4 linked regions of the Notamacropus eugenii genome follow. The protein of the gene in region 4 interacts with the protein of the main gene of each other region in a biochemical or structural test. Links are inferred from orthologs where the notes say so. Each region holds a gene or a part of one and is shown on either strand. Other genes may lie near its edges.

Region 1 (7,202 bases), on a different chromosome or scaffold from region 4:
TAAGCGCCTGCCCCCTCCCACTCCTCTAAATCTACCTCCTGTCCCTCCGCCAAAGCTGCGGATAGGCTCTGAGTGAGTACGCTCAGAGGCTCCGAGGGCCCAGACCGCCCATAGGTAAATGACCGCGTTCCTTGTGATGATTGTGACAAGGACATGGTGGCTGGGGGGAAGGAGAAGGCATTAGGTCTGATCTCAGAAGGATTGGGAGTTCCTAAACTCTGTTGAAACTTCTTCTTGCGAATTCCCCCACCCTCTTTTGTTGTTCCAGGGACTTTCCATTCTTTCTTAAGGGTTCCTTCTGACGAGCCCTTTGTCTCGGGGACTTTCCAGGGGACCTTCCACTCCCTCTTGGGCGTTCCTTCCTCATCAAACTTCCCTTTTGTTCCTCCCCTCGGGGCTCTATAGTCCCACCCCTTGCTCAGCCGTGCGCCATCTTGAAGGGCGCGGTTCTGGTCCCTGCCTGCACATTCTCTTAACATACCCCATGGATATAAGGGCTGGGGCTCAGTATTATCCTCATCGGATTCCCCTTCTTCTTCTGTCGTCCCTTGAAGGGACTGCCCTGTTTGGGTCTCGCCGTTAGACCTCCCGGGGGGACGGGGATCCGAATGCAGAAGCGTGGCGACCACTTGAAAGAACGTAAAGTCCTCCTCTGTTAGTACGCCAGGGCTCTCTTTCTCATAGGCGACCATCTGCTGTCCCACTACGCCCCATTTGGCTGGGTGTAGCCCACAATATTCTAACCAAGGGGAAACATCCCAGATCTTTTCCACAAATGCTCTACAGTCCCGGATGTGGGGCTTAAGCCCATGGGTCTTACAAAGCTTATACAACTGACAGGCAAGCACTCCCTTATCTTCGGGCTTCAGGTTGGGAAAACTATTTCCCTGGCCCATCCTGGCCACTTCCCAATACTGAGACTGCCTGAATCTTCCCGCAGTAGCGGGTCAAGGCCACTTCTCAATACTGAGGCTGCCTGAATCTTCCCGCAGTAGCGGGGCAAAGGCGGATTCTCCTCTCCTTACAGCGGCCCCTGTTCAGGCGCCAGCTGCCCGGGGTCTACTCCCGGGCCTTCGCCTCTCCACTTACCGATCCCCGGTCTTCGGACGTCTCCGGCCCCTCTCCCGGTTGGGGGAGGGCAATAAACAGGCAGAGCACCCGAAAGGAGTTGCAGTCAGCAAGCTTTATTGCATTTCTTCCCCTTCTCCTTCTCCTTCTCCTTCTAAGCCCTTGTGATCATCCCCTTTTATTATCCCCTGTCTCCTCCCCCGTACCTCCCATGGGCGGGCGAGCTCCTCCCAAGTGCCTCCCCGCGGGTGGAGCCAGCCTGTTACCAGGGCCATCCCAGTACCCCACAAGGGGGCAGGTTCGGACCCTCAGGCGTCTCACGGTCCTCACGGGGGACCCTGGTCCAGACCTGTCCCCCAACAGGATCAATTGAAAAGGAATTGCCTTTGCCATGTAACAACAGTCTTTGATTGAATCAGTTAATTAGAACTAGGTGTGAACAAGACATGGACACCTTTCTGGAAGCAAAGACATTTAAATTGGTTGAGGTAAAACAGACTTCAGCTTGGTAATGCTCTGCAAGGTCTGTATAAAAGCAACAAGATAGTTAAAAATTCTCTAAATCTGAGTGTCTAGTGGGGGAAAAGAGAGATTTCCTCCTCTGGGGACAGAGACTAGACCAGTAATTTCATTGATATAGTTCCCAGATCAGGAAATGCCCTTTACCACAGCAGGTCAGCACTTTTCTGCAGCTTAGGTCTAAAGCACTGGGAGAGGAAATGAGTCACCCCAAGGCTACCCAGTCAAAAATGTATTGTTGGTAGGACTTGAACCTATGTTCCTTGTAGGCTAACTCTTTGTTCACTATGCCATGCTGGTACTCTTAGACATTAACTCTTTCTCTTAAAAGAGGTCCAGATTCCATTCTCTTGCCCCCATCTTTGAAAAAAACTTCAGGATGCTCAGGAGTGATTTCACCTTGAGTACCCATAATAATCTGTTTACGATTTCCATATTCTCCACTCCCACTTACTCTCCAATCTCCAATACTTTAATAAAAAGTAAACATTTTCAGTGCAGGACTTGGTTTTTTTTCTTTGTACCCCCAGTTGAGTCTAGTGGAAAGTGTTGTTGTTCAGTTGTGTCTGAATCCTGGTCACTGCATTTGAGGTTTTCTTGCCAAAGATGCTGGAGTGGTTTGCCATTTCCTTCTCCAGCTCATATTAGAGATGAGGAAACTGAGGCAAACAGGGTAAGAAGAATTGCCCAAGGTCATATAGCTAGTCTGAGGCCAGATTTGAACTCAAGAAGATGAGTCTTCCTGACTTTAGGCACTGTACTCTACTCACTGAGCCACCTAGCTGCTCTTCTGGGCAAAATAGGTACTTCCCAAATGCTCTTTGATTACTAGTACTTTCTCAAAACAGGGTCTCTGGCTTTGAAAGATTCCTAGGTCTCAGTTTTTACAAGCACCTAAGACAGGAGATCATCTGGGGGGTCTGGGTATATAAATACCTGGTGATCTAGTCCCATGGGGTGAATCTACCTGGATTCAGAGTCAGGGCTACTTCCTTGGCCTCTTCTCTAGACTGTTGGGGGTATCCAAGTCAGACTTCAAGCATGTGCAGAATGTAAAGGCTCGATGCCTGAGCTTGGCTCCTTGGAATATCTGGTGTTAGATACATGTCTTCAAGAAGTTAAATTCTGTATGGACTAGGAGTTATGGCTGCCTGCATCTTTTCTAAAGATCCCAGGGGCAAACCTTTTAATACAAAAGTTTTAAAAATCCTTGTTTCTGTGTTGTTTTTCCACAAGGAAAAGTTGACAAATAGTCTCCCTTCTGGCTTTTTCTACTCTATTATGCCTAAAATTCAATCCTATGATCTCGCTTCAGGATTAAAAACTTTTTAAAAGAAGCTCAAAATTTTTTCTTGATCAACTGTTTCAACACATGCTGGGAATCCAGGCATTCTTAAGTGAATCCCTTGCAGCGTACAATCAGCATAAAAGAGGATTGACTCAATCCATTCATCTCCTCACTCTAGCTCACCCACAATTCTCCCCACCTTTTCCATTCATTATTCTGGTTAAAAAAAAAAAAAAGCAGATTGTGAAAATCCGTGGACCTCCTGCCTTGAAAAAACACCCCCTCACCTCTGTTTTTCCCTAGGAAGGTTTCTCTTCATCTCCTCTGATCCTTTCACTCCCGCACCCCGTCCAGACCTTTATTTCCCTTAAAGCAAAGGTTCTCAACCTGGCTTCCATGCACTTCGTACACATGTACAATCTGAATGTCAATATGCAGAGTGGGTTTCTTTGGCAATCCTATGCATTTTATTTTATGCATCTAATACAAGATCCTGGAAAGGTGTCGGTCCACAGGCTTCCCCGGATTGCCAGGGGGTCCGTGCCGCAGGAAGGTCCCTCGGCTGTTCATCTGAACACAGAGCGCCAGGAGGTCGCGCCCCCCACTCTACCGCGCCGAGGGCCGGAGGAGAGTTCTCTCGGGCAGTTACTTATTAATCACAGCTCCCAGCAGGGAAGGCGGGGGGCGGGGGACGCTCCGGGCAGGGAGGAGCGCCGCGGGGGGCGGGGGAGCTGGGGGAGGGTACGGAGTTAGGTGCGAGGTGGTTGGACGCGGGCTGGAGGAGGGAGGGCGTCACTCAGGCCGGGCCAATACAACAAACAGAACCCTCCGTCTCCTCCGCGGTGCAGAAACCGCCACCAACAGCCCAACCGCCGCCGGAGTTCCGCGGAGAGGAGGCGGGGCCTGCGCTTGCCCCCGTCCCCCTCCCTCCTCCCCGCTCCCTCTCGCGGTCCCCTCTCCCGGGGCGAGCCTGGGTAGTCCCGGGCAGGCTCCGCCCCCTCGCGAGAGGCGGCGGTCATTGGGCTGCGGGGCTTTTTTTGCGGTCGTCCTAGTTGCGAGGAGAGGGCGGAGTCGGGGAGGAGGCCGCCTTCGGAGGGCGGGGGAGGCGGGAGGTGGTGGTGAGCGGCCGGTCCGGGAGCGGAGCCGAAGAGGGAGAGTGCCCGGGAGAAGTCGAAGCCGGGGAGGGCTCCGGGATCGCGTCGGCCCGGGGCGAGGCTTCCCGCCGCCGGCGAGGAGCGGTGCCCGCGGACTCCTCTCCCTCCTTCCGGCCGCGACACCGGGGAGGCGGCTTCCTCTGCGCCTCCCTCCCGATCCTCCCCGCCCCCTAGTCCGGAGGAGGAGGAGGACGGGGGCGGTGGTTGGGAGGAGGAGGCGGCGGCGGCGGCGGCGGGCGGAGACCGCGCTCCCCCTTCTCCCTCGGCGGCGGCAGCGGCAGCGGCAGCGGCGGGGACAGGACAATGGAGGTGGCTGTGGAGAAGGCGGCCGTGGCAGCGGCGGCGGTCGCGGCAGCGGCGGCTGCGGCAGCGTCGGGGGCCCCGGCGGCCGCGGCCCCGAGCGGGGAGAATGAGGCCGAGAGCCGGCAGGGCCCGGACTCGGAGCGCGGCGGGGAGGCGGCCCGCCTCAACCTGTTGGACACTTGCGCCGTCTGTCACCAGAACATCCAGAGCCGGGCGCCCAAGCTGCTGCCCTGCCTGCACTCCTTCTGCCAGCGCTGCCTGCCCGCCCCCCAGCGCTACCTCATGCTGCCCGCCCCGCTCCTGGGGGCCGCCGAGACCCCCCCTCCTCCCGCCGCCGCCGCCGCCGCTCCCCCCGGCTCCCCGATCTCCGCCACCCCACCGTACAGCACCCAAGGTGAGCGAGCCCCTTTCCCGCCGCGCGCGCGAGGCCCGGGAGGGGGCGAGCCGAGCTCGGCGGAGCCGCGCCGCTAGCTGGGGGAGGGGAGAAAAGGGGCGGGGAGGCGGGGGACGCGAGCGAGACACACGGCGGGTGAGTGCGTGCGAGTGCGTGCGGGTGTGTGGCGACCCTGCTGTCATGTCGCCACGGGGGAGGGGGGAGAGGGAGACGGCAGGGTCTGTGTGTGCGGGCGTGTGCCCTGCGCCCAGGGCCCTGCGCGCTCCCCGCGCTCCGCCGGCTTCTCCGCAGGCCGCCTGCCGGGGCACCCGGGCTGGGCTGCTCGAGTCTCTCGAGTGGCCCGGCGCCTTGTTCCGGCCAACTTTTTTCTGAACGCCGACCCCTTAGCGTCACTGCTCACTCGGTGTTCGCCCGAAGCTTTTGTCCGGGGCTCCGGGATCCCGGGAAAGTAGGGAAGTGCCTCGTCCGTCTTCCTTTATTCTTCTTCAATGGATGAAGCCTTCGGCCGGCGCCAGATCTGACGTTGGGTTTGGAGGATGGAGCCTTGGGCTTGGGTCCTGTGTGGGAGCTCGTTTCCTCGCGGTGCTCTTGCTCCCCTTCGTCGGGGACAAAGGGACAAAGTGACAGTGTTTCATTTGTCCTCCCGTGAGGGGGCTGGCGTGGACGGGCTTGGCCGTGGGAGAGGCGGGAGAAAAGTGAGTTCGGTGGGAGAGGGGTTTTTTTCTTTCAAGTGTACGTGAAGAAGAGCTGGAGGTGCTGGAGATGGACGGTTTCTCCCGGGATGCGGTTGGGTGTTTTGTTTTGTTTCGGTCAGTGTAGTGCGGGAAGCTTAACAGGTAACCTGGTGTTGCTTTTGGTACCTGTTATTAGATCTGAAACATTTTTAAAAGTTAAAAGCAAAATGTTGAATTTGATACAGTTGTAGAAAGCTTTTTGCGTTTTTGTGCTTTCCCCCCTGTTTTTGTATTTTCTTTTAAAATTATAAAAGCAACATTTAGGAAAATATGTTAACTGCTTTTCAAAAAAGGAAATAACTTATTTTTAACTCCTCCCATTTTTAGAGGAGAAACTCCATTTAACTTAGAGTAGTTAGTAGTTTCAAGGCAGTGGCTAGAGCAGTGGGCCTGGAGTCAGAAGACCTGAATTCATATTCGACCTGAATAGTTTTGTTAACCCTGGGTAGCTTCCACCTCTGCCTCAGTTTCCTGTTGTGAGTATTAAACGAGACCGAGATAATAATTGTAAAGGACCTAGCTCCATTTAAATGTTAACCATTATTAATTATTCTCATTTGCTAGTGCCCCCCCTCCCCACTGTACTTTGCGTTTTTGTTGTTAAGTCGTGTCCAACTCTCTTCACCTCGTTTGGGGTTTCCTTGGCAGTTACTAGAGTGGTTTGCCTTTTCCTTCTCCTGCTCACTTTAAAGATAAGGAAACTGAGGGGAAAGGGGGTTAGGTGACTTGGCCAGGGTCACAAAACTAGTGTCTGAGGCAGGATTTGAACGCCACCTAGCTGCCAGATAGGTTATAGTGCCAAATTGAAGTAAGAAGGGTTCTGAAGAATGCTTTTTATTGGAATAAAGTGAACTGTGGCTTTAACACTTCCACTTAGTTGTAGTGAATCAGCCTACCTATTCAAGATTAATCCTGGGTGTAAGGGCAATTGAAATGATTAAATCTTGAGGGAAAAAGAAGTAACTTTTTTTTTTTCCAAATAGTGTATTCTTCAGTGAAGCTGCTTTTAAAGAAAGAACATTTTCATGAAACTGTTTAGATCCCTAACCAGATGGAGTTAATTAACCTTCCATGATCTATCTGACCTGAACCTAGAATTAAAAAGTTCCTAAGAATTGAAGCAATGATTGGTGTCATGCAAAGAGGTCTTGCAAAATTTGGAGTCAGAGGACTTGGTCCTCAAGTATTGAATCTACCTGTGTGATCTGGGATGAGTCTGACCCCTTTAGTCATCTGAAAAATGAGGAAATTGGATTAGATGATGTCCTAAAGTCTCCTCCAGGTCTAAATTTTGTGGGTTCTTTGGACTTCATACAGGTAGTCCAGATACCACTACTATTGTGAAAACCAGCTTGTAATTTACATGAAATATGAACAGGTCTTTGAAGATGTGTTGAGGACATTGATCTTGTTTCTTCTGTACCTAGTACTTACTGGTCAAGCAAGTATTCAGAAGGACAGAGACAATTTAAAGAGAAGTTTCAGCATGTAAAAACTATTTAAAGCTCTTCTTTATAATATATAATCCCTTCAGTGAAATATAACTCAAGCAGAACAGTCAGTTTGTGTAGGTTATGTGATTTGGGATGACTTAATAATCCTAGGGAATTTTTTCTTCTTGAACCAGTTGTCTTGTCTAGTTTCATTTTAGCTCAGTTTTCTCTTTTTGATTCAGTGATTTGTTTTGGAAAAAGAAGCTAATTTCAAAAATGTAAATTATTGGAATGTCAGGTCTTAAATTG
Region 2 (6,972 bases), on a different chromosome or scaffold from region 4:
GATTACATAAAACTACACTTTTGCACAAACAAATCCAATGCAACTGAGATTAGAAAGGAAACAGTTAACTGTGGGGGAAAAACCATTGCAACAAATTTTCTCTGATAAAGACCTCATTTATAAAATATATAAGGAATGATTCAAATCTATAATAGCTATCTGCCCACTGATAATAGCCAAAGGATATTAATATGCTATTCTCAAGTTATCTATAGCCATGAGAAAATGCTACATATCATTAATAATTAGAGAAATGCAAATTAAAGAAACTCTGAGGCCCCAGTTCTCACCCATCAGATTAGTAAAGTAGACAAAAAAGTTAACTGACACGTGGGAGGGAAAACAGGAATACCAAAAATACACTATTGATGGAGCAGTGAACTGGTCTAGCTATTCATGAAAGCAATCTGAAATTATGCCAAAAAGTTATTAAATTGCGAATATCCCATCTGACTCAGTTATACCACTATTGGGTCAATACCCCAAAGAGACCAAACAAAGAGAAAAAGGACTCATGTACAAAAATATTTACAGCAGCTTTTTATGTTGTAGGAAAGAACTAATGCAGAGTGAAGTGATACAAATCAGAAGGATAACTTATAAAATAACTGTAACACTGTAAAGACAACAACTTTGAAAGACTTGAGAACTCTATCAATGGGTACCCACAATTCTAGAAGACTCATGATGAAAACATGCTGCCCACCTCCTAACAAAGTGGCGAACAATTTCAGGGTGCAGAAGGAGATCTATATTTCATGGACTCAGCCAATGAAACAATTTTCCCTAACTATTCATATTTGTTCGAAGGGTTGTTTTTCTTTATTTTGCAGTGGAAGGGGGGAGATGGGTAAAGAAAAAAAAATAATGCTTGATAACTGAAATATAAGCTTTGGGAAATACTTATTTTGTTTGGAGAGTTTTAAAAGGGGAAAGAAAAGGTGTAAGAAATATAACAATGGAGAGAGATGGGGGTGAGACATGAGAAGAGTATAAAAACTTGGAGAAAGGAGTGGAGGGAGCAGGTATCTGATGAAGCTCACTCATATGACATGGATAAAGTAGGGCTGAATGTACACACACCATTTGGTGTAGAAATACATCAAACTCAACAGAGAAACAAGCAAAGATGGGGGTAGGGATAGAGGGTTAAGAGGGAAGATAATACCAAGAGGAGAACACCCACAGGGAAACAGACTTTTTGACAGTGAAGTATAGGGGGAAGGAAGGTGGATTAAAAGTATGGGAAAAAAGAACTACAATCTAAGAAGATACCCATCAATGACAGAACAAATTACAGTGTATGAATGTAATGGAACAATATTTCATCATAGGAAATGACAAAAAAGATAAACGCAGAAAATCTTAGGGGTAGTATAAAAAATGTAAAGTGAACAGAACCAGAACAATTCATACAAGGACAACAATACCATAAAAAACAAACAAACAAAAAAAAAACAACTTTGGTCATTGTATTGACTAGAGTTCTTGTCTTTCAATCAGTTTTCCAGTGTACATATACATGAAGAAGTGTTACCTACCTAATGACTCCTGAGGTAAGTGATTCAAAGTACAGGAGGAGGCATAGCTACCATGGTGATCATTTGCTTGACTATTCTTATTTGTAACAAGGATTTTTTCCCCCCTCAGTTTTTAATTGAGGAAAAAGGAGTTGAGCAGATAGGTTGTTAAAAATAATGTCCAAAAACACCCCACAAAACAATGTGGCGACTGAAACAATGTTTAAAATGCACAGGAAGGAACAGAAAAATGCTTAGAAGGAAGCACAAAAAGAACAGTTTTGAAAATAACCAAGTATTTCAGTTTTTTTAAAGCAGCATGGAGATTGTTTCATATACAATTCTCTTATGTTCTTCAAAGCATATAGAAATATTCCCTTTTTAATACTTAAGTTCAGAATAAAAATAAGAAATATAGATCAAAAGAAGAAAAAACAGTACCACCTCAGCTAAAAATGTTACCAAGGAAAGCGATAATAGTAGGATATATTTATATGATACATCTCTGACAGGAAAACTTAAAATTTGTACACAATGTAACAGAAGTGCTCATATCAAAATAATCACAATATGCTAGCCTCCTCAGGTCCATCAGTCCTAAAATGGATCAAAATTTGGGAAGGAAAAGGAACATGAACAGTATTTTTTGATGATCAAAAGTATTTGTTAAGTGTTCTCATAGATATGTTATTTTCATAGGACCCGTTCATTCATATCGACATGCCGACTAAAATGTCTTTCTTCCTACAAAGACTGACCTCTGAGCTTCCTCATTTGAAAATTAGGCAATACAAATTCCACTTTCCCCAACTATCTCAAAGATATGGTTGAGATCAAATGAGATAATACAGGTCAAAGTACTTAATTTTTTATTTAAAAGCCACATGAAGATGAAAACTGTTATGACCATTATCAAGAGTATAATTATTAAAGCAAAGTGGGAGTAAGTACACTGGTTCTGCGATAAGCCCGTGGGCATCTGAAAGCACCTGCTTGGCTCTCTGCCTAGTTCACCTAAGTGCTCACCTAAGCTCACTGTTTAAAAACGTAAAAACCAAAACTACGTTAACCTAACGAAAACAGAAAAGGTGTTCTCTGCCTTCTCCAGTCCACCAAAACCTCTGCCCCGAGCTCGTGCACATACCTTTGATATACCTCTTTGGGATTTTCTTGCTGGCAGCCTCTGATGCAATCTCAATGTCATCAGGATCGCCCCCTTCGTCCTCAATAGCCTATTAAGATATCAGTTTCAGGGGAGCTTGTTAGGTGCATGACGTCATGTGCTTTACTGGTCATAAACTTTCGCTGCAATAAACGCTCAGTTCCCTCACTCTCGTTAGGCTACTCCGGCCGGGCAACAAGCCCAGAAGTCAGGCTCGAGTGAACTTCACTATCACATGGCGACATGGCTCGTACGGCTGGAAGCGCAGCCTTAGGCTTCTGAAGGGGCCCGGACCCAAGCCCAGGCCGGCCATTTCTACGCGCTGCGAGGATTTACCCATTTTGGGAAAGTTTCGCAGACACCAACAGGTTGCTGGAACTTTGTACCGGGGGAGAGGAGGGTGCGGAGCGGGGCCAAAGGTCACAGGGTCGCGGCTCGGGGCAGAATAACCAGAGGACGGCCCGCGGCCGGAGCCAGGACGGGAAGGACTTCCTCTCTCGGCCTCTGCCCCCCGCCGGACACCCCCTTCCCAGGAGCTCGGGGCCGCTCCAGCGCGCCCGTTCCCAAGGTTTTTTCCGGCGGGGTGGGGTGAGCAAGTGGACCAGGGCTGGAGCGGAGGGGAGCGGGCCGCGGAGCAAGGGGTGCCCCGAGCCGAGCCACAGGCGCGCACCTCCCCTTAGCCCAGACTCAAATACGCGTGCGCGGCGACAAGCTAACGCGCTGGTCTCCCTCGCTCCTCCACCCGCCCCCTCCACACCGAGTGCCGGGGCCCCGGATGTGCCCCGGTCCCTCACCTTCTTGAGTCGGTCCATCAGGACGCTCTTGTTGCCGCCGGTATCCAGGTTCCGCTTCCTCAGCTCGGCCCGGAGGTCGATCACTCGCAGATCACTTAGCCGCCGGGTCCCGGTCTCCGAAGAGGCGGAGCCGAGACCCGCCGGGCCAGATCCCGAATCGCCCGCCCCTGACAGAGCCTCTGCCATCCTGGGTGCCCTGTCTTCGCTGCCCACCTCACACACAGCAGTGGCTGCGGCAGTTCCGAACACAAAATGGCGCCGTTTGCGAGAAAAACGCACTAGCCTGCCTCCTTTCCGGTTACGCATGCGCGCCAACCGACTTGGCTTTTTTCCACCACCCCCTCCTCGGAGGGAGTTTGCCCATGCGTGCTGTAGGATCCCACGCAGTCACCCCCGTGATCCACAGTCGTATCCAGGGCTCCTCCCACTCTAACTGGTGCTGCGCATGTGCTCTATTAGTTGAGGGCGGGAGTTTGCTTGGGTTTTGAGCGCCTGCGCATCTAGACAGTGAAGCTCCTTACTTCCCTCCTTCCTGGTGACGGAGGGATTTGGCGCATGCGCCTGGAGGAGGGGGCAGCCTCCCGAAAAAAAAGACCACCTTCTCGGCGCGCGCGCAGTGACGCCACGGGTGGGGGAGGCTGGTGCCGCTCCCTCGCAGGCGGCGCCATTTTGTGTTCCTAGCTGTGGCAGTCGCCCGAATCGTGCGAGTTGGGCAGCGGAGGTAGGACCCTTCGGGATGGCGGAGATTTTGTCAGGCGCAGGCGATTCCAGTTCTGTCACTGCAGGGCTCAGCTCCGCCTCCTCAGAGACCGGGACCCGGCGGTTAAGCGATCTGCGGGTGATTGACCTCCGGGCCGAGCTGAAGAAGCGGAACCTGGATAGCGGCGGCAACAAGAGCGTCTTGATGGACCGACTCAAGAAGGTGGAGCCTTCTGGGGCCTAGTCGTGTGTGAGGGTCGGGAGAACGGATGGGGGAGGGGGGCTGGGGGAGGGGGGGTTGAGAGAGTGGCCGGGTCGCCATAGCCGCGGGCCTCGCCGCGCAGGCGCGCGGGGGGCTGGGCGGGCCCTCGAGCTCCCCCGCCGTCGCGCCCTCCTGGCTGTCCCCGCCCCCGGCCGCAGAGCTCCGCGCGCCCCGCCCCGCACGTCCCGAGGCTGGGCTCCCTGGGTGGATTTCTGGGGGCCGGTGGAACTTGGATGTGGGGGGGATGGGAGGGAGGAGGAGTCACGTCTCGATATCGACTTCCTTGGGTTCCCCAGGAAGGAGAGACGACCTGCGGCTTGTTGGGGTTTTTATCACCGATCTGGGGCGGGATGGCTTGGAGGCAGCTCTAGGGTGCCCAGCTTGGGTTAGTCAGGTTATTATTAAGCCGAGTGCTGTGGGAAGATGGGGGGCGGGGAGAAACGACGAAGTCGGGCTCCTGGAGGAGGGGGGGCTTGAAGAAGGCAGGGGTCATCCCAGGACTTGGGGACAGGGTGAGCAGAGATCCTTGATGGAGGAGAACGTTGGAGGCGATCTAGACGGCCAGGGCCTGCTCGGATTTGGTCTTGGCCTTCCTCCATCCTAGCAATGCATATACTTGGTAGATGACACTTAATAAAATGTTTGTTGAACTGAATCTCATTTTACAGGTGAGGAAATTGAGACCCAGAGAGGTAAAGTAGCTTCCTAAGGTCACACAGCTAGTAAGTAGACCTACAGTATCAACTCTAGTCTTACCTTAGTGCCAAATTGTATACTGCGCTGCCTTGCCTCCAGAGGCTTGAGAGCCCGGATTTTTGTGTACTGTGGACAAAGTGATCCAGTATGGCTGGAGCAGAGAGCTCATAGGAAGGAGTAACTCCGTGAGAGGAAGGAGTGGAGCCAGACACCTTTTATGGTTTCAAGAGCTTTTTTCATACATTGTCTCCTGTCTGTCTTTCAGCCATTCAATGAAAAATCATTTCTGAACCCTTACCATTCCATTGATTAATATAAGCATTAAATGCCACCTAGGTGCCAGATACTGATAGGCACGGGGAATTCAAAAACAAAATAGTCTTTGCGTTCTAGAAGCTTAAATTCTATTGGTGACAGTGAGATACAACATGTACGGAGATAATAGATGACACAAAGTGTTCTGTGCACTGAATAGCCAGTAGGGCTCGCTGGACTTTGAGATTGAGATAATTTCCTCATCTCTGTTTAAGTGGTTTAATAAAAGGGAGACACTGACTTTGCCTTCTATATGTAACAGTTTATGGTGAGAGACAAGTAGTGGGGTGGAACCATCCCAGGAAGGTGAGACAATGTTGTCCTCATTTGAAAAATAAAGAAGCAGAAACTGAAGTCATCCAGTTTACTCTAGGATGAAGGAGGCATCTAAGGTGGGAGATGAAGTAGATAGATAAAAGTTATGTGACAGCTCATTTCAGAAGTTCAAGAAATATTATGCTCTTTACACAAATTAGACCATATCTTACAAACAAAACATCTAGTTAATTTTTTGTGACTTCTTTTTCCTCTTCAAGGTCTTTTATGTAACCTTATTTCACATGAAAAAAATGGGTACAATGCTCCAGCTTTTAAGGTGGGGATGAATTTCCCCACATCTTGTCTCAGGTGCTATCCAGTCAGTCCACCATTCAATTCTTCTTTATGTTGATTTATGTTTTGTTTTTTAAAGTTGGGCCTATTCGGCTGATCCACTTGCTTGCTTCTCAGGAGGAGATATGGATGCTTCAGACTGTTTTCAGTGTAAACCTAGCACTGAGAAAAGTTGATGTTTTCAGTTCATTTCAGTTTGTACTTAAGCATGAGCTAGGCACTGGAGACGCAAAGTCAAATAATGATAGCTTGACACTCATTTAGCACTTTAAAATTTGTAAAGTGCCTTAAATACATCCTCTCCTTTGAGCCTCAAGGAGGTAAATACTGTTGGCATTATTATTCACATTTTACTGATTAAAAAACTTTATCTGGGAGAAATTAAGTCATGTTGGTAAATGTCAGAGATGAGATTTAAACCTCGATGACTCCTGGCTCTTGATTTCAACACTTCTCACTGTGGTATACTTCATCTTCAAAACAAGTCTTTGCCCTCAAGGTTATGCAGTCAACTTTCACTTAGTTTCTAGATTATGATGCACTTAACCCTTTTCCCAAATTCAGTACTACAGGCAGTAAGCTAGTTTTTCCTTCTGTTTAAGTTTTGAATGACTTGAAACTAGCCAATTACAAATTACTATGGTTCCATGATAAATAATATAGTTATCTGCAATTTTACCCATAAAAGAAAAGAAAATAATGAAATGGGATTTCACTGTCATTAAAATTTAGGTGACAAAATCAGATCTCTGCCATAGATTGAACATTTCCCTTATTTTCTACATCACACAATATGAGAGTTGGAAGAGGCCACATCTTTCCCAAGCCCTAAATGAAAGAATTATGTATTATAATATATCTTACAACATGGTTTACCTGGCTCTGGTAGAAGACTTCAGAGAAAGACAGTGG
Region 3 (7,481 bases), on a different chromosome or scaffold from region 4:
GACACTGAAGTCCTTGCTCAAGCTGAAGTGCCAAGGCATTCAACTATGCTTCAGAGAGTGCAGTTCTGATGGTCTATCCACATTGTCCAAATGCAAAATGTATGCCTGCCAAAAAGACTATTTTATGGAGAACTTACATGGGGCAGGCAATCACATGGTGATCAGAAGAAGCGATACAAGGACATTCTCAAGGTCTCTCTCAAGAACTTTGGATTTGACTGTGTAACATGGGAGATACTGGCACAGGACTGCTCAGCATGGCACGCCCACATCAGAGCAAAGTAGAATTGAGACAGCACAAAGTAAACGCAGAATGCACAAATTTGGAGTATCCACCCCAAATATTCACATGGTCTATCTGTGCACAATCTGTGGTAGGGCCTTCTGAGCTCATATTGGTCTGATCAGCCACAGTTGGACACACTGAAATTTCACTTTATCATGGTGATGTTATTTTGGTCCTTTTTGAGAATGAAGGAGGACAACAACCAACTAACCAAGCAACCAAGAGGGGATGGTCATGGAGAGGATAAAGGCTAGCTCTTCATCAGAGAATGGGGCAAATGAGGAGGGAAGGAGAGACCTCAGAAGTGGGGAGGAAAAATAAATTCTATTTTGGTCATATGGAGATCCAAGTGCTTATGGGACCTCCAATTGTAAAATATTCAATAGACAGTTAGTGATAGATGACTGGAACTCAAGAGAGAGACTATGACTGACTTTTTGGATCTTTGTTTTCACTCATTTCTGTCATGTTCAACTCTTTGTGATCCCATTTTGGGTTTTCTTGGCAAAGATCCTGGAGTGGTTTGCCATTCACAGTAGATGAGGAAGCTGAGGCAAACAGGGTGAAGTGATTTGCCCAGGGTCACACAACTGTCTGAGGCCAGATTCAAGAAGATGAGCCTTCCTGACTCCAGGTCCAGTGCTCTATTCACTGTGCCAATCAGCTGCAAAGCCAGACTGTCACTGACTTTTTAGATCTAGCAATTATACATTGCGATGATAGTTGAACCTGTAAGATTTGATGAGATCACCAAGAACAAGTGTGGAGAGAGAAAAGCAGAGAGGACCCCTGGTCAGTCGATCCACATGGATGAAAGTTGATCCACATGGATGATGATCTAGCCACGGAGACTGAAGAATGGTCAGACAAACAGGAAAAGAACAAAGAGAGAGAAGCAGCAGCAAAATCCAGGGAGGACAATGTCCAGGAGCTGAGGGTTCAAAGGGACCTCAGAGTGTCTTCTCTCTAAGGCTACCTTCCTTTACTCGTCCATATCTTGTATGTGCGTAGTTGTTTGCGTGTTAGACTGGGATCTCCTTGAGGGCAGGGACTGTTCTGGCCCTAGCACAGGGCCCTGCACATAGGAGGCACTTAATAAGCATTTGTATCAATGAGATAATAATTGTAAGGCACCTAGAACAATGCCTGGTATACAGTAAGTGCTATATGTGTTATTATCGTAGTTGTCGATTGGTTGACTATCTGCCTAGCTACATTTTACAGCCGTAATCACCAGAGGCAGTAACAGTATCCACACAAGGTAGGAAGTCCCAACCAGGAATTGGTCAGGTCACCTAAGAACAAAAATCACAAGGGGATCCAGTTAGATCCTTATGCTTGAATGGCAGACCTCCATGGTCAACAGAGGTGAGTGAGCTGTTCTGGGCTAGCAACCTGCTAGGCTTGTCTGTTGCCCAGAACTTGCAGTATCTAAAAGGTAACTCACTGCCTAGGCATATCTATTGTTTCTGTCACCTTCTACTTCCTGTGGCTGTTGCTTCTGGTGGACTCTGCTGCCCACCCACCTTGCTGGGGCAGGGGAGCCTCTGATGACACCTTTGGATCCTTCAAACTCACTGTGTTGCTGCCTGGACATATTCATGTTAGAGGACTTGTTTGCCTCATATCAGGAAGGAAAGAATCTGTTCATGTGCTTACAGTGACAGCTAGATAAGTGGAGAGGACACCAAGCAGTTGCCTTTCCCCAAAACTAACTCTTGAACCATCTCCAAGATGCCCTTGATTGGAGCAGCAAAGGAAAGAGGCTGAGGTTAGCAGATGCCACCTTTTGTAGGTAGGTATGTATGTATGTATGCTTAGTTCTGGCTCATCCACAGGCAATGAAAGACTCACAGTCCAGGGCATCCATGCTATACTTCTTTGCCTAGAGACAAGGGGCTGGGCAAGATCAACTCTTGAGCCTCCTTCTAGGTCAAAGGTTTAAGCGTCTACACTGTCTGCCTCTGGGAGGCTCCATATACAAGATTTTAGTTTTGCTTATCTTTTTCTTCCTTTTCATGGATTGCTAAAGACCATCCAAAATTTCTTCCATAGACCTGGTGTCAGATGTTGAAAGGCAATATGGTGGATCATCAAGACATCAACTTCCTACTTTGTGTGGCTACTTTACTGCCTCTAGTGGACCCTGGTAGTGAGGGAGCATGTCCAGATGCAGAAACTAGTCAGTCAGTCAACAAGGTTGAGAATCTAGGGGTCTGAGTTTGGACCTCAGCTCTGTCCCTTACTTTCTTTGAGATCCTAAGAAAGGCCCTTAACACTCCCTGGGTCCCAGTTTCCTCAAAGCTAAAATGAAGGCACTAGAGTAAGTCAGGAGTCCAGGCTCCCTCTGACTTCTTGAGACTGCCAAAGGGGTCCATGACACTTTGATCTCCAAGGTCCAGCTTTAGTATTTTATGTCCTAAGGCCTTTCACCTCTGACATGCTATATTATAGAGTCTATGATCTTTTGTGTTTTAATGTCTCTTCTAGCTCTGATATTCCATGTTTTAAATATCATGCTTTCTGGGAGCTTATTCTAAGATAGATACCTTCACAAAGTCATAATAATGGCTAGTATTTATATCACACTTTAAGGTTTGCAAAGCACTTTAGAAATATGATTACTTTAATCTTCACACTAACCCTGTACGATAGGAGCTATTATTATTCCCATTTCACAGATGGGGAACTTGAGTTTGAGAGGTTAAATTACTTGCCCAGGGCCTCACAGTTAGAAAGGGTCTAAGGGAGCATTTGAATCCAGGTCTAATCTGACTCCAAGTTCAATCCTCTAAACACAGTGCACCTAGCTGCCCTATGAACAGGGAGGAATGGTAACAGGATACTGAGTAAGGAAATTGACTCCAAGATAGGCTGGTGCTTGGTTGAATGACCAAGGACAGAGAAAATGGAACACTTACATTTTTTAATAAAAGGTCCTATCTCTGACTGGGAGAGACTCTTTTCAAAGACGCAGAGGGCTGCCCTACAAGCTAAGAGAGATGCATAGGCAACCCCTGTCTAGACCGAGTATTGCCATTTTGAGAGGAAGTGTGGCCAAAAGAGAGAGAGTCCCCTGGAGTCACATGGTTAATAATAAGAACTCAAGGCCTGACCAGGCAACAGGAGAACCCTTTATCAGCCCAGCTAACTGGGAGACTTCTCTAGAATTTTCTGGTGCCCCAGCTTTAGGCTACAGTAAGAGAAGAGGTGATTCAGGTACAGCTGGGAGGGGTCTTAGAATACAGAATGTCAGATCAGGGAAGGGCCCTAGAACACAGGTGTCAGAGCTGGGAGGGCCCTTAGAACACAGGATGTCAGAGCTGGAAACGCCTTTAGAATACAATGTGAATTCCTGGAAGAGCTTTTAGAATGTCAGAGTAGGGAATGTCAAAGGTAGGAGGAAACTTAGAATACAAAACTTTAGAGTTGGAAGGGGTCTTAGAACACAGAATTTCAGAGATAAGAGGGCCCTTGGAACACAGAATGTCAAAGCTGGCAGCTCCTTTAGAACATAAACTGTCAAACCTGGAAAGACCTTAGAAATCATGTAGTCTAACCTCATTTTACATAGGTAGAAACTGAGATCCCATGAGCCAGGTGACCTATTCTTATCCCCATTTTTTGATAAGGAAACTGAGGCTCAGGGGCCCGGATAAGCACCTTAGAATTTTGCAGATTCTATGTACCCAGAAGCCAGCACTGCAGGAACCTCTAGTGCAGGGCCCCAAGGTTAAACAAACAGCAGCTGATAAGGTGACTTCCAGGTTGTGTTGTCCAAGGTTGGTCTGGCTTCGGGGCTGTTTTTCCCTCTGGGCGGCCCCTGGTGCAGACAAGGGCCGTGTGTATGTGTATGCTGACACCTGCCATGTCCCTGATGCTGACTGTACACCTGGGGCCTTGGTGTCCTGGTACCGGCTGGGTTAATGGCCCTGTTTATCATGCCTGAGTCATCCCGATAAAGCAGGCTGCCTGGTGACCCCAGCTGGTCCTTTCATTGACTAAAAGCCCTATCAGGGCCACGTGGAGCCCTTGCCTGCCCTCCCCCTCCCCGCCTGCCACTTCCCCAGCCAACCGTGCCAGGGTCATCTTGTTTTTCAATGAATAGGACTTCCCTGGTGGAGTCAAGGTTGTGGGGGCTGGCTCCCCTCCCACCCCAGGGATTATAAATAGAATCAGAAGTGCAAGCCTAGGATGGTGTATCAAGCAGGCAGAGGAGCTGCGCAGGGGCCCCAGAGGGAGTGAACGGTGTTGAGCTGGCAACAGCCGGAGTCATTTTTCCCTGACTGATCTTCCAATCCTAGCTTGCTGCCCAACCATGAGCCTGGGTGGGCCAGCTACAGGATCCGGAGCTTGTGAGTGCCAAGGTAGAGACAGCCAGCACGCCATTCTGTATTCCTTGCTGAGCCGGTCCCAGGGCCCATCGCCCCATGCCCATTGCCTCTGTGCCCGGCACCGCACAGTCTGCCTCCGAGCTCCACAGCACACCTGCCTGGCGGCAGCAGGTGTACTAGCTAAGACGATCACTTTCCTGCAGAACCTGCCCTCCTTTGGCTTGCTGCCTCCAGGGGACCAGAGGCTGCTGCTCGCCAACTGCTGGGCCCCCCTCTTCCTTCTGGGGCTGGCCCAGGACGCAGTGACCATCGAGGTGACTGAGATGCCAGCTCCCAGTATGCTCAAGAAGATTCTGCTGGAGGAGAGGAGCCCAGAACCCCAAAGACCCCAGCCCACCCTCGCAGGGGTACATCGACTCCAGTGCTGCCTACATACTTTCTGGAGTCTGGACCTGAGCCCCAAGGAGTATGCCTACCTAAAAGGAGCTATCCTCTTTAATCCTGGTGCGTAGAAGTGTCCTGCCTCTCCCCTATCCCACCCCCACCTCCCTTTTAGCTTATCACCTCAGTACCTTACCCAGGGTCCATCTGTCCTCTTCTTGCCTTATCTTCACATAGCCAAAGCTCCTGTGGGGGGGCATAGGAACAGAAGCCCCTATGTCCAGGGAGAATAAGAACTCCAGAACTGCCAGGACTCTCCCCCCGCCCCAAACACACACCTTCTTAGGAAAGAGGGAAGAAGGAAGAAGATGCGTTACCATGCGTATGATGATAAAGAAGTCTAGCACCACTGGCAAAGTGTCAGACAAGATGATTGGCTCCCTAGCCTGAGAATTCCCTCTTAGCAAAGTCCTGGCCTGGCTGTGAGAGGGAAAGAGTTAATATGGTGAAGAGAAAACTGGATTTGGAGTCAGAGGGCCTGGGTTCAAATGCTCCCTCAGTGACTCACTAGCTGTATGGCACTGGGGAAATCACAAACTCTCTGGGCCTCAATTTCCTCACCTATAGAATGCAAAGGTTTGACTTGTTGTTAAGTCATTTTCAGTCATACACAGCTCTTTGTGACCCCCACTTGGGGTTTTCTTGGCAAAGATCCTGGAGTGGTTTGCCATTTCCTTCTCCAGTTCATTTTACAGATGAGGAAGCTGAGGCAAACAGGGTGAAATGACTTGCCCAGGATCACACAGTTAGTAGTCTGAGGCCAGACTTCAACTCAGGTCTTCTTGACCCCAGGTCCAGCACTCCATCCACTGAGTTACCTAGATGTCCTCAGGTGTGATTAGATAACCTACAAGTACCCTCCCAGAACTAAACCCAATGTCTGACAAGGAAGACATAATGCAAACATTCTGGGAGCCTTGGTCTTAATAATAGAGAGAAGACAGATACACAGAAAAGTCATAAAACAACAGGCAAATTTCAGTTACGATCAGAGGACTCTTTGTACGTAAAGTGCCGGACAGAGCTGAGTACGTTAGGTTGACCAGAAGTCTTCCTGGAAAGGGATCTCTAGAACAGTTTTGAGACAGTGAAGAGAGTCCTTAGAATACAGAATGTCAGAAGTGGGAGGGACCTTAGAGGGAGTAAGGAGAGAAAATAGATTTTTATTTGAAATAATTTACCTCCCCCCCAAAAAAATCCCACTACAGACAGAATCTCAGAAGTAGAGAGGGGACCTTAGAACACAGCATGTCAAAACTGACGTGGGGGCCTTAGAACAGAAAATGTCGGAGGTGGAAGGGGCACAAGCAATCACTATTGAGTATAAGCCTCTTATTTCCCAGATGGAAAAGCAGAATCCCAGGGACTAGAGAGAACTGACTTTGTTAAGGTCAGCCAGAAAGCTGGTGATGAAGGCAGGCATGGGAATCCAGACCTCCAAACTCCTGTTCCAGTGTTTTCCCCATTACACCTTGCTGCCTCTCAGAAGGAAGTAGCGATTTACTAGCTTTCCTCTTTCCTCTTTCACTACAGACACCCCCGGCCTCCAGACTGCTTCGTATGTAGAGAGCTTGCATCGGGAGGCAGAGCAGGTCCTTCAGGAGGCTTTGGCACTCCATCACCCTGTGGACCAGGGCTGCTTTGCCCGCATCCTCCTTGTGGCCTCCTCCTTGAAATCCATCCCTCCTGCTCTGCTCAGCTCCCTCTTTTTCCACCCAATGTTTGGGGATGCTGACATCACCAGCCTCATTGTGGACATGCTGTACTTGACTTAACCGAGGGGATGGTTCCCTTTCCTGCTTCCAACTGCCTTCAGGACTCAGAGGCACCTCACCCAGGCTTGAGACAATGCAAAGACTCCTTACACTTGTCAGAGAGCTTGTTCTGAGGGCTGTGCCTCTCTGGATGGGATCTGAATTGCCTCAGGTCAGGGACTCTCCCATTGGGACCAGCCCTGAGCATTCTTCATATCTGGGCTCTGTACCCTGCCTTGAGAGATGCCAAAGCCAACTGAGCTGGGGTGGGGTAGAGATGCTTACTGGCTCAACTCTGATACTGAGTTCTCATAGACTCACAGCTGGAAAGGATCCCTGAGGGCATCCAATCTAGGATAGGAATAGGAATTCCCTCTGCATCATTCTTGTCTCATGATCTTAAAAACTTCTAGAGATGGAGGAATTCATATCTTCCAATCTACTGGTTTTGAGGGCTTGGGAATCAGTCAATAGGAAAATAAAGGGGAGGGAATGATCTACATTTTATTAAATTCATCAGATATTTATTAAGTACCTCCTGTGTGCCAGACACTGCATTAGGAGTTGAAGATACAAAAACGAAAAGGAAATACATCCTTTGTTCCCCAGATGGAATACCTATGTGTTGAGAGCGTTCCACAACCTTAGAAATTCCACTTTCCCATT
Region 4 (7,870 bases):
CATGGTGATTGATACAGTGTTTAAATAAAGATTTTTTTTTTTTTAGTAAAATGACAGTGAATAGATATCCTGTTGTAGCCACTATTCAAATTACCCTATAATGACAAGATTATCCCTTTTTGTCACTCTTATAAACAACATCGGATAGTTTACATTATCATACTTTACTCTTGCATGATCTTCCATCATTCTTTAATTATTTCCTGTGGCAGTCTTGTCTCTCAATTATAAGATTATAAACTCATTAAGTGGTTTTTTTTTTGGTAGACTCATAAATTCTGGAAGTCTTTATCCCAGTTCTCACTTGTACTGATAAATAAGGTCCAAAGACTATAGCTAAGTCTCCTTAAGGCTCTAGGGCTAATCCTGAAGAGATATCTTTCTAAGGCTTTTGAGTCCCCACCAGTGTGCTTCCTGCCAAAATTATAAGTTTATGATCAATCTGTCAGCCAGACATTTAGTTTTAGAAAGGGGTATTTATTACAGTAGTAGAGTTGGTACAAAGCATCCCCAGAAAAGTTCTGTGACACTCTCTAGTAAGTATATATATAGAATCCAGGGGAAAGTAAATTCAAGGTTAAAAAGCACATGTGGCAAAGGATAACACAGGTTCTGGAAAAACCTCTTGTTGGCATCATAAAAACGTTCCTATTGGATATTGTTTAGATTTTCTGGTGTGCTCTTTATAGAGCCTGGAATCTGTCTTGTCTGTCCTTGACTCCTAATTTGGTCCTCCTAAGTCTGAGAGGGTCCTCTTTGACTGGGAGTGGGGAGGAGGAGATGAGGAGACTGACAAGAAGATCAAAGCCCAGGGCCTGGTTTCTCCTTCTGCATGAATTCTTTCTTAGGAATTTTGATGGAATGTTTTCTCCTCTCTACTTCCTCAAATCCTTCAGGCCCCAAATGACCTGATTTTTATAGATTATTGACATGACATAACAATTTCCTCAGTTAATTGGAATATAATTCCTGTGCAAAGTCACTCTAGTTAATCAAACAAGGACTTTTTTCTGTACTTAGTCTAAAGCCCATGATTTATTGATTGATTCAATAGAGAAGTGTTCTCCTCCAGTTAAGATATTAGACTTTAGCTTCTTGACACTTTGAAAAGAATCTGTGATTTGATGAAAATTCCATTCTTTTATATGATTTAAAAATAATTCTCAGTTCATATTATATCCAATCCAGCAAGTATTTAGTAAAACCTACTATATATCAGGTTCTGTAATAGACTTTTAGAATACAAAGGAAAACAGGTCCTGTCTTCAAGCAGCTTGCACTTTGTTAGGACAGCTAATAACTCTTTAGTGATCTATGTGCTTCTCCACTGTTAGCAACTTTATCTTGAGACTCCTTCGAACTAGTCCCCTCCCTGATTTGTAGTCTGAAAGGTCAAACCCACTGCAAAGTATTGAAGAGAAAGTCCCGGATTGTTGTACCCGTCTATTTTCACACTGCATTTAGTGTTGAAGATTGTCCCTTAGAATTTGGAAGGAGCTATTCATCTACTATCTTCGTTTATGCTATGTCCAAGCTGCTTCTGAAGACCAAGTGAAATATTAATAGCTTTTCTCCTTTTGAAATGCTTTAATCTCTCAGGTATCTTACTTGTTCTGACAAACCAGTCATCCTGAAAGTAGATTTTTAAAACATGTGCATACACACAACTCTTCCTCTTTAGAATGTTTACAGCTTCATTTTATTATTTCCTTTTGCATACAGAATAAATGAAAAAAGCATTTATGAAGTGCAAACCATTTGTGCAAATCATTTGTGATTTACACAGTGAGATTTAAAATTTAAAATTATGAGAACTGTGAACTTTAACTAAATTTGTTGATTTCTCTCCCACAATATTTTCTGGTTGACTGGGCTACTGAAGTAAAACTATACATTTTTTTTTTTTGAAGACTTGAATTGTCTTTTGCTGGCTGCTCTCCAAGTTCTTTAAGTTTTGAGTAAATCATACTGAAAGGTAAGTAAGTAGTGGATGTTGACTATATTATGACTTATGACTATGTTTTCAATAATCTCTACTCAGAGACTGGGCAGAAGTATAATGTTGTGACTTTCCGGGCCTTGATCTTATACACGAGAATGACATTTACCTTAGGAAACTCCCATAGGCTGGCTAATTGGAGAGCAGAGTTTCATACTAAGTTTGTCATTTAATGAAAAAAGAAGTTCAGAGTCACTTGGGTACTATAATCAAGTTGAGGGGAAATTTTAAAGGATACTCATTGGCGAGATCTCGATTATTAGGGCTAGAAAAAGATGATCTATGGAATTCATGTCTAAACCCTATTATTGACTGAACCATTAGATGAAAAAAAATCTGCTTTAGTCTGGATGTCAGACAAAATAGATTTCTGCTTGAATGACCCAGATATATTGCCTCATTTCTCTGATTTACTTTGCTAGTTGAAACCTGGTCTTTACTGGGAACTTGGGTTACATTGGGGGGCAGTAATGGATGGCAAGATGCCACAGTTACATTGTCTTCAATGCTTCATAAAAGATTTCAGGATATTAGTTGCAGTGTGACCCTGGATGAACTATATGTTTACCCTGGGATTGTTTTTTTTTTAATTGTCAGTTTCAGTCTAGTTATAATTAAATTCTTGGCTTTATGTGTCAGTTGAATAAGTTATATTGGGGAAGTAAATCTGAGTAGTGAAATAGAAGGAAGTTTCTTTTCTTTTTTTTTTCTTTTTCTTTTTTTCTTTGTATGCCCATACTGAGCACAGAGCCTTGGACATTGTAGGTGGTTAACGAATGTTCATTGAAATTTGTCTTATGTTTTGACAGTTTGCTTTAAATCCTAATTTGCTAACTTTCTCATCATTTATTCTGGTTATTGATGATGAATTCCATTCAACTAAACAGTTGCAAATTTTATGACAAAATAAGAGAGAAAATATTTTAAAAAATCTTTCATTGAAGCTTTTTTTGGTTGTAGCTATCCTTTCCAAGGACCATTCTGCCAATGTTAGAACCTCCTCTTGCAACAAAGCAGTACAGTTAAACAAACCAAACAAATGCGCTGATCATGCCTGACAGCATATACCTTATTCAGCACTTGTAGTCTACCACCTCTCCACTGACAGGAATAAGGAATATCTTATCATCAATCCTCTAGAGTCAAGATTGCTCAGGGCACTAATCTAACTCACACCTTTAAGCCTTGTTTTCCATTACATCATGGTCATTGTGGATATTGTTCTCTTGAAAGGGCACATGAAGAATTATGTATCTTCTCCAGAAACTAATATGGGAAAAGAAAGGTGATATGTAATTAGAAAAGCAGGATGGTATAGTGAAAAGAATCCTGGGATGAGCCAAAAAAATCTGAATTTGAGTTCTAGTTCTACTACTTAGTAGCTGTGTCATTTTGGGCAAATTATTTGTCCTCATTTAGCCTCCCTGTCATCATGTAAAATGGGGGAATAATACTTGTGCCATCTGCCTCACAGGGTTCTTGGGAGGATCAGATGAGATTTTATATTCCCAGATCAGTACGTAAAGTAAGTGTCAGCTATTATAATTTTACAGGGTTTCACAGTACTTCCTACAGATCTCTCAGTTGTTGAAGTACTACTGTATCTTTAATCATATACTTATGTATAGGTAACTATGCACTGAGGCATATGAGTGACTCAAAAGATTTGGCAGTAAAAGGCAGAAATGTCTGCAAATCATATAACTGAGTGATTAATACAGAAAAAGCTTTTAATGTTATTTTTCTTAAACTTCTATTCAAAGAATTGATTTATTGGATAATTTATCTTTTACTTGTCACTAATCTTAAAATTACAAAGAGGAAGGGCTTCCTTTTGAACCCTCTAAACTTCCTACTTGGGCAACTCCCCTAGCTTTTCTTCCTTCCTTCCTTACTTCCCTCTCTCCCTCCCTCCTTCTCTCTCATTCTCTCTCTCTGTTTCTCTTCCTCTCTGTCTACCTGTCCTAGGTCTGTCTGTCTATCTTTGTCTTTCTTGGTTTTTGATTGTCTATCTTTTTTCCTGTTTTAAGGAACTTCTCCATTTAAGAAATGGCAACTTGTCTAGCAAAGTAGATATGAGAGATGCTTTTCCTCCTATCTATTCCTCTCCTGTCCCAAAAACTCCTTAGTTTTTTTTTTTTTACAGTAAACCAAAGTTCATCAACTAAGCTTTTTTTATTTTTTAAAGACCTTTAAGATACAAACTCTTAAATTACAAACAGGTTTCAAAAGCTCTTTAAATTCCCAGGTCCTTTTATTAGCTCATTTTCTACTTCAAAATGTTTATCTCCTGGGTCAAAGAGAAACTTAAATCACTGCAGGAAATGCCAGACAGTTTATAAGAAGATCATATGATGGAGGGAAGGGCTTAAAAGTCATGGAGAAGCTAATCTAGGCTAGGCTGACTATAGTTAAGTAACCAATTATTCAGTGTCAAGAAGGAAAATGGGTAGAAGGAATGGTTGAATGGCATGACTAGAATCCCTTTCCCATGAGTTTTCATATGGCTTTTAGCAGCAACTAATTGAGGTTCACAAAATTTATGTGCTGAACAAATGCTTTTTCCTAGTTAGATTCACCCCTGTCAAGACTTTATGCTTTATTACAGGCAGAAAACACATCAGCTGGACTGTATTAGTTTTGCTGGCAGATTAATGACACACATTCCACTTTTTGTCAAACCTCTACCCTAGCCTGAAATGCTCAGAAAGTTGAAAAATCTGACCTAGCATGGAGAAAAGGCAGGCCTTTCATTTTTTCAGAGAGATTTTTCCACTTCTAGTCAAATGGTGGTGCTAGCTTTTCATTTTTGAGGCTTTGCATTTCCTAATTTCTTGGTCATAACAACCTCCTGTGTATTGCCACAGAGCAGATTTCACCAAAACAGAGAATGCAAGGGCACATGCACAGAAGCTGTTTAATGGGCTAGAAAGGTTAATAATCCTTCCTCCTGCATATTCTATAGTATAAGAAGACAGACAGGCTGTGAGGGAGATTCTTCTGTCCAAGTAGGTATTCCTATTTCTTTCCTCCCCTTTCTTTTTCTTGTCTTTTTTCCCCCTCTTTTTTTTGAGGGGGAAGGAATCTGTGTGTATGTGTATTGGTGTGTGTGCATGTTATTTACAAGTATGTTGTAACTCTAGTGCTTACAGCCATTCACTTTCTTTTTCCATATGACTTGAGGGATATTTACAAAGTCTGTTGGCCAGAGTGTTACTATGTTCAAGTGTTAAGTCTGAACTAAGTGCAATGGAAATTCACTTTTGGAATCATAATCAGCTGAGTCAGAGGGCAAGAAGAGTACCCTTTTCTTAGTGCAGTAGTGACGGACTTACTGCTCCCAACAAAATATATTTTTTGGACACAGCTCTCTCCATGAAATCCACAGAAATATTCCAGAATCACCTAAGTCTCTCTATTTGGCCAACTGTGCACATTGATGAGATCTGATAGAGAATACACTGAAGTTGTCATGAACATATGGCAACTACCTGTTATGTTATAGTAGAAATACAGCAACTTTTGGCAGTTCCAACCAAATATTTTGAACAAGCTGTTTCCTAGAAGAAAGGAAGATTTCCAAAAAGCAGCCTAATCCAGTGATAGGAGCCTAGGAAGAAGGACCTTGTCATTGATTTGCATTATAATCTCAAGCAATTTATTTCGACTCTTGACCTCAGTTTTCTTTTGTGTGAAAAAGGAAAAAAAAATTGGTTTGTTTGTTTCAGCAGGCTGGTGTCCTCATTAATGACTGTACCACATATGACGGTGTCACATGGTGCTAGTCCAGTAATGATGTGGCAAAAGCACACAGCAAGGACGGTACACTTTCATTTTGGTGAGAGGAAAGCCACAAGTTTCAGGAAATGTCAATTTAACTCTGTAGCAAGAAGGGAACTAGCCTCCCCATAGGAGATGATATAATTTAAAAAATACCTATGTTTGCATATAGATATAAGGGTAAGATTGTCTCAGGACATTAAATCAAGGCATGGAGTCCAAATCAAGGTACCGGATTTCACATGGCTTCATGGACAAGATTGAATAAACTTGCAGAACAACTCTGAGAAGGAGCTTGCTGGGAAAGTAGTGTTGTTTGAGGTGTATGTGTTTTTTGGTTGTTTAATTATAAGCTAGCTCAGGTGCAAGATGAGGACGAACATAGACTAACCACTCAAAATGCACTGAGCATTTAAAAAAATGCACAAAGGACCAAAGCAATTAAAGCGGTTGTTTTAAATCACTTCCTATTTGCTCATGAGTAATTTACTAATTGTCTTTTTACCTCCATTTCTCTATTTGCTAAAAGGAGGCATCATTTTTGATGGTTTTTTTGACACCTTTTGTTGTTGTTGTTCAGACCTGTAATTTCATCAGTGAAGGGAGCTTGCAGGTGAGGAAATGCCCTCTATCAATGTGGATTCCCGATTTATAGTCTTACAGAGTTGCCTGGCAGCAGTGATTCACTCAAGATCGTGTCATCAGTAAGTGTCAGAGGTGGAACTGGAACCTACATCCTCCCTACTCTAGGTCAGACTCTCAAATCTATTCCATGCAGCCACTTCTTGTTTTATTTCATTAATATTTATTTTATTCCATGGGTATCTTAATGATACCTACTAGGCTTCTGGACACATGAAATACTGCCGCAGAATTTGTCATGGGGTTTTTAAATTAAAAAAAATGAGTAATTATCAATAATTTAGATATGATTAATGTTGACTAGGGAGCAAGAGGCTTAATTTCAAAAATAATAACATTTATATAATGCTTTAAGCTACCAGGATTTGTCAATAGAACCTTTTTCTTAGTAATGTGGAAATACATATAATTTGTGACAGGGAGAGGGACAGATCATATGTTTCTTGAATTAGCAATGAGGACATAGTTACATAACTGTTGTCTACTCACATGAACCCTATTTCCTAAAATTTAACTTCAGCTCTACAATCTGCTATCTTGGGGGGAGTTAGGGAGTGATAGGCAACATGCTTACTTTAGACCTCTCAGATACATTTATACCTGACATCTATATGTTAGAAATAATTTCTGATGGCTCCTCCCTCATTTTTTTTCATGTTATCTGGATATCCTCTGCATATCTGTCTATAACTACTCTGTTCCCTTAGTTCTAATGGGGCCAAGGTCCTAGGTTTGAACTTCTAGTGGGTTGCTCAGTTAACATTAAAGAGAAAAAATTCTATTTTAGAGCCATAGATTATATGTCCCTAATACAGTCTAGCCCTTCACAGATGCATACTATTGGTTAAGATTAGGCAAAAAAAATGAGGTCTTTTTTTTGGTAGGGTGTAGCTTATTGTCACCAAAGGGAGAACCAAACTCAAAGCCCTTAGCTGCTAGTGGGTGGGTGAGTGATGTCTTTCTCTAGGAAGGATGAACACACCTTGGCTGTCTAGCTTGTTTTAAGTAGGATTTGGCATCATGCCCCATGTAAAATAGATGCTTTTAAAATTTACATTTTATAATGCTGAGAGTAGTGCTGGTGGTGCATCTACAATTAACCTTCTTGGAAACATCTCAGGAGAACTCGCCCAGGTGGGAAACTGAACATACTTTGCGTATTTATCCTAGGATAGATAATTTAGTTTACTGCGCCTCAAGAAGGCTGTGATTGTGCTTTCCTGAGGCAGCATGATACAATGGATAGAAAACCAGTCTTGTTGTCAGCAAGACATGAATTCGAGTCTAATACATACTGGCTATGTGATCTTGGCTAAGTTATCTCATCTCTCAGTACCAATCAAAAGACCTATACTATGACTCTGTATATATGTTAGAGCATTCCTTCCAGCATTAACATTCTGTGATTCTGCATTCCTTTCCCTGAGAAGCTACTATCCTAAAATATTA

The links.
Region 1: the proteins of ESR1 (region 4) and TRIM24 form a complex in vitro, tested with the Homo sapiens proteins (4 studies listed by BioGRID). The link is inferred for Notamacropus eugenii from reciprocal best matches to the Homo sapiens genes ESR1 and TRIM24.
Region 2: the proteins of ESR1 (region 4) and scaffold attachment factor B1-like form a complex in vitro, tested with the Homo sapiens proteins (2 studies listed by BioGRID). The link is inferred for Notamacropus eugenii from reciprocal best matches to the Homo sapiens genes ESR1 and SAFB.
Region 3: the proteins of ESR1 (region 4) and NR0B2 form a complex in vitro, tested with the Homo sapiens proteins (2 studies listed by BioGRID). The link is inferred for Notamacropus eugenii from reciprocal best matches to the Homo sapiens genes ESR1 and NR0B2.

The regions. Positions count from the first base shown.
Region 1 is NC_092874.1:110,703,031-110,710,232, reverse strand, and holds the start of TRIM24 (transcription intermediary factor 1-alpha), read left to right. Parts: upstream 1-4,195; 5' UTR 4,196-4,332; coding exon 4,333-4,726; intron 4,727-5,427; exon of another isoform or gene 5,428-7,202. UniProt on the Homo sapiens protein: Transcriptional coactivator that interacts with numerous nuclear receptors and coactivators and modulates the transcription of target genes.
Region 2 is NC_092875.1:73,568,682-73,575,653, forward strand, and holds the start of scaffold attachment factor B1-like, read left to right. Parts: upstream 1-3,951; 5' UTR 3,952-4,212; coding exon 4,213-4,398; intron 4,399-6,972. Other genes in the region: SAFB2 (scaffold attachment factor B2), read right to left, coding at 2,665-2,752, 3,477-3,782. UniProt on the Homo sapiens protein: Binds to scaffold/matrix attachment region (S/MAR) DNA and forms a molecular assembly point to allow the formation of a 'transcriptosomal' complex (consisting of SR proteins and RNA polymerase II) coupling transcription and RNA processing.
Region 3 is NC_092876.1:68,043,973-68,051,453, reverse strand, and holds the start of NR0B2 (nuclear receptor subfamily 0 group B member 2), read left to right. Parts: upstream 1-4,478; 5' UTR 4,479-4,604; coding exon 4,605-5,124; intron 5,125-6,594; coding exon 6,595-6,836; 3' UTR 6,837-7,481. UniProt on the Homo sapiens protein: Transcriptional regulator that acts as a negative regulator of receptor-dependent signaling pathways. Specifically inhibits transactivation of the nuclear receptor with which it interacts.
Region 4 is NC_092873.1:243,779,748-243,787,617, forward strand, and holds the start of ESR1 (estrogen receptor), read left to right. Parts: upstream 1-4,869; 5' UTR 4,870-5,007; intron 5,008-7,870.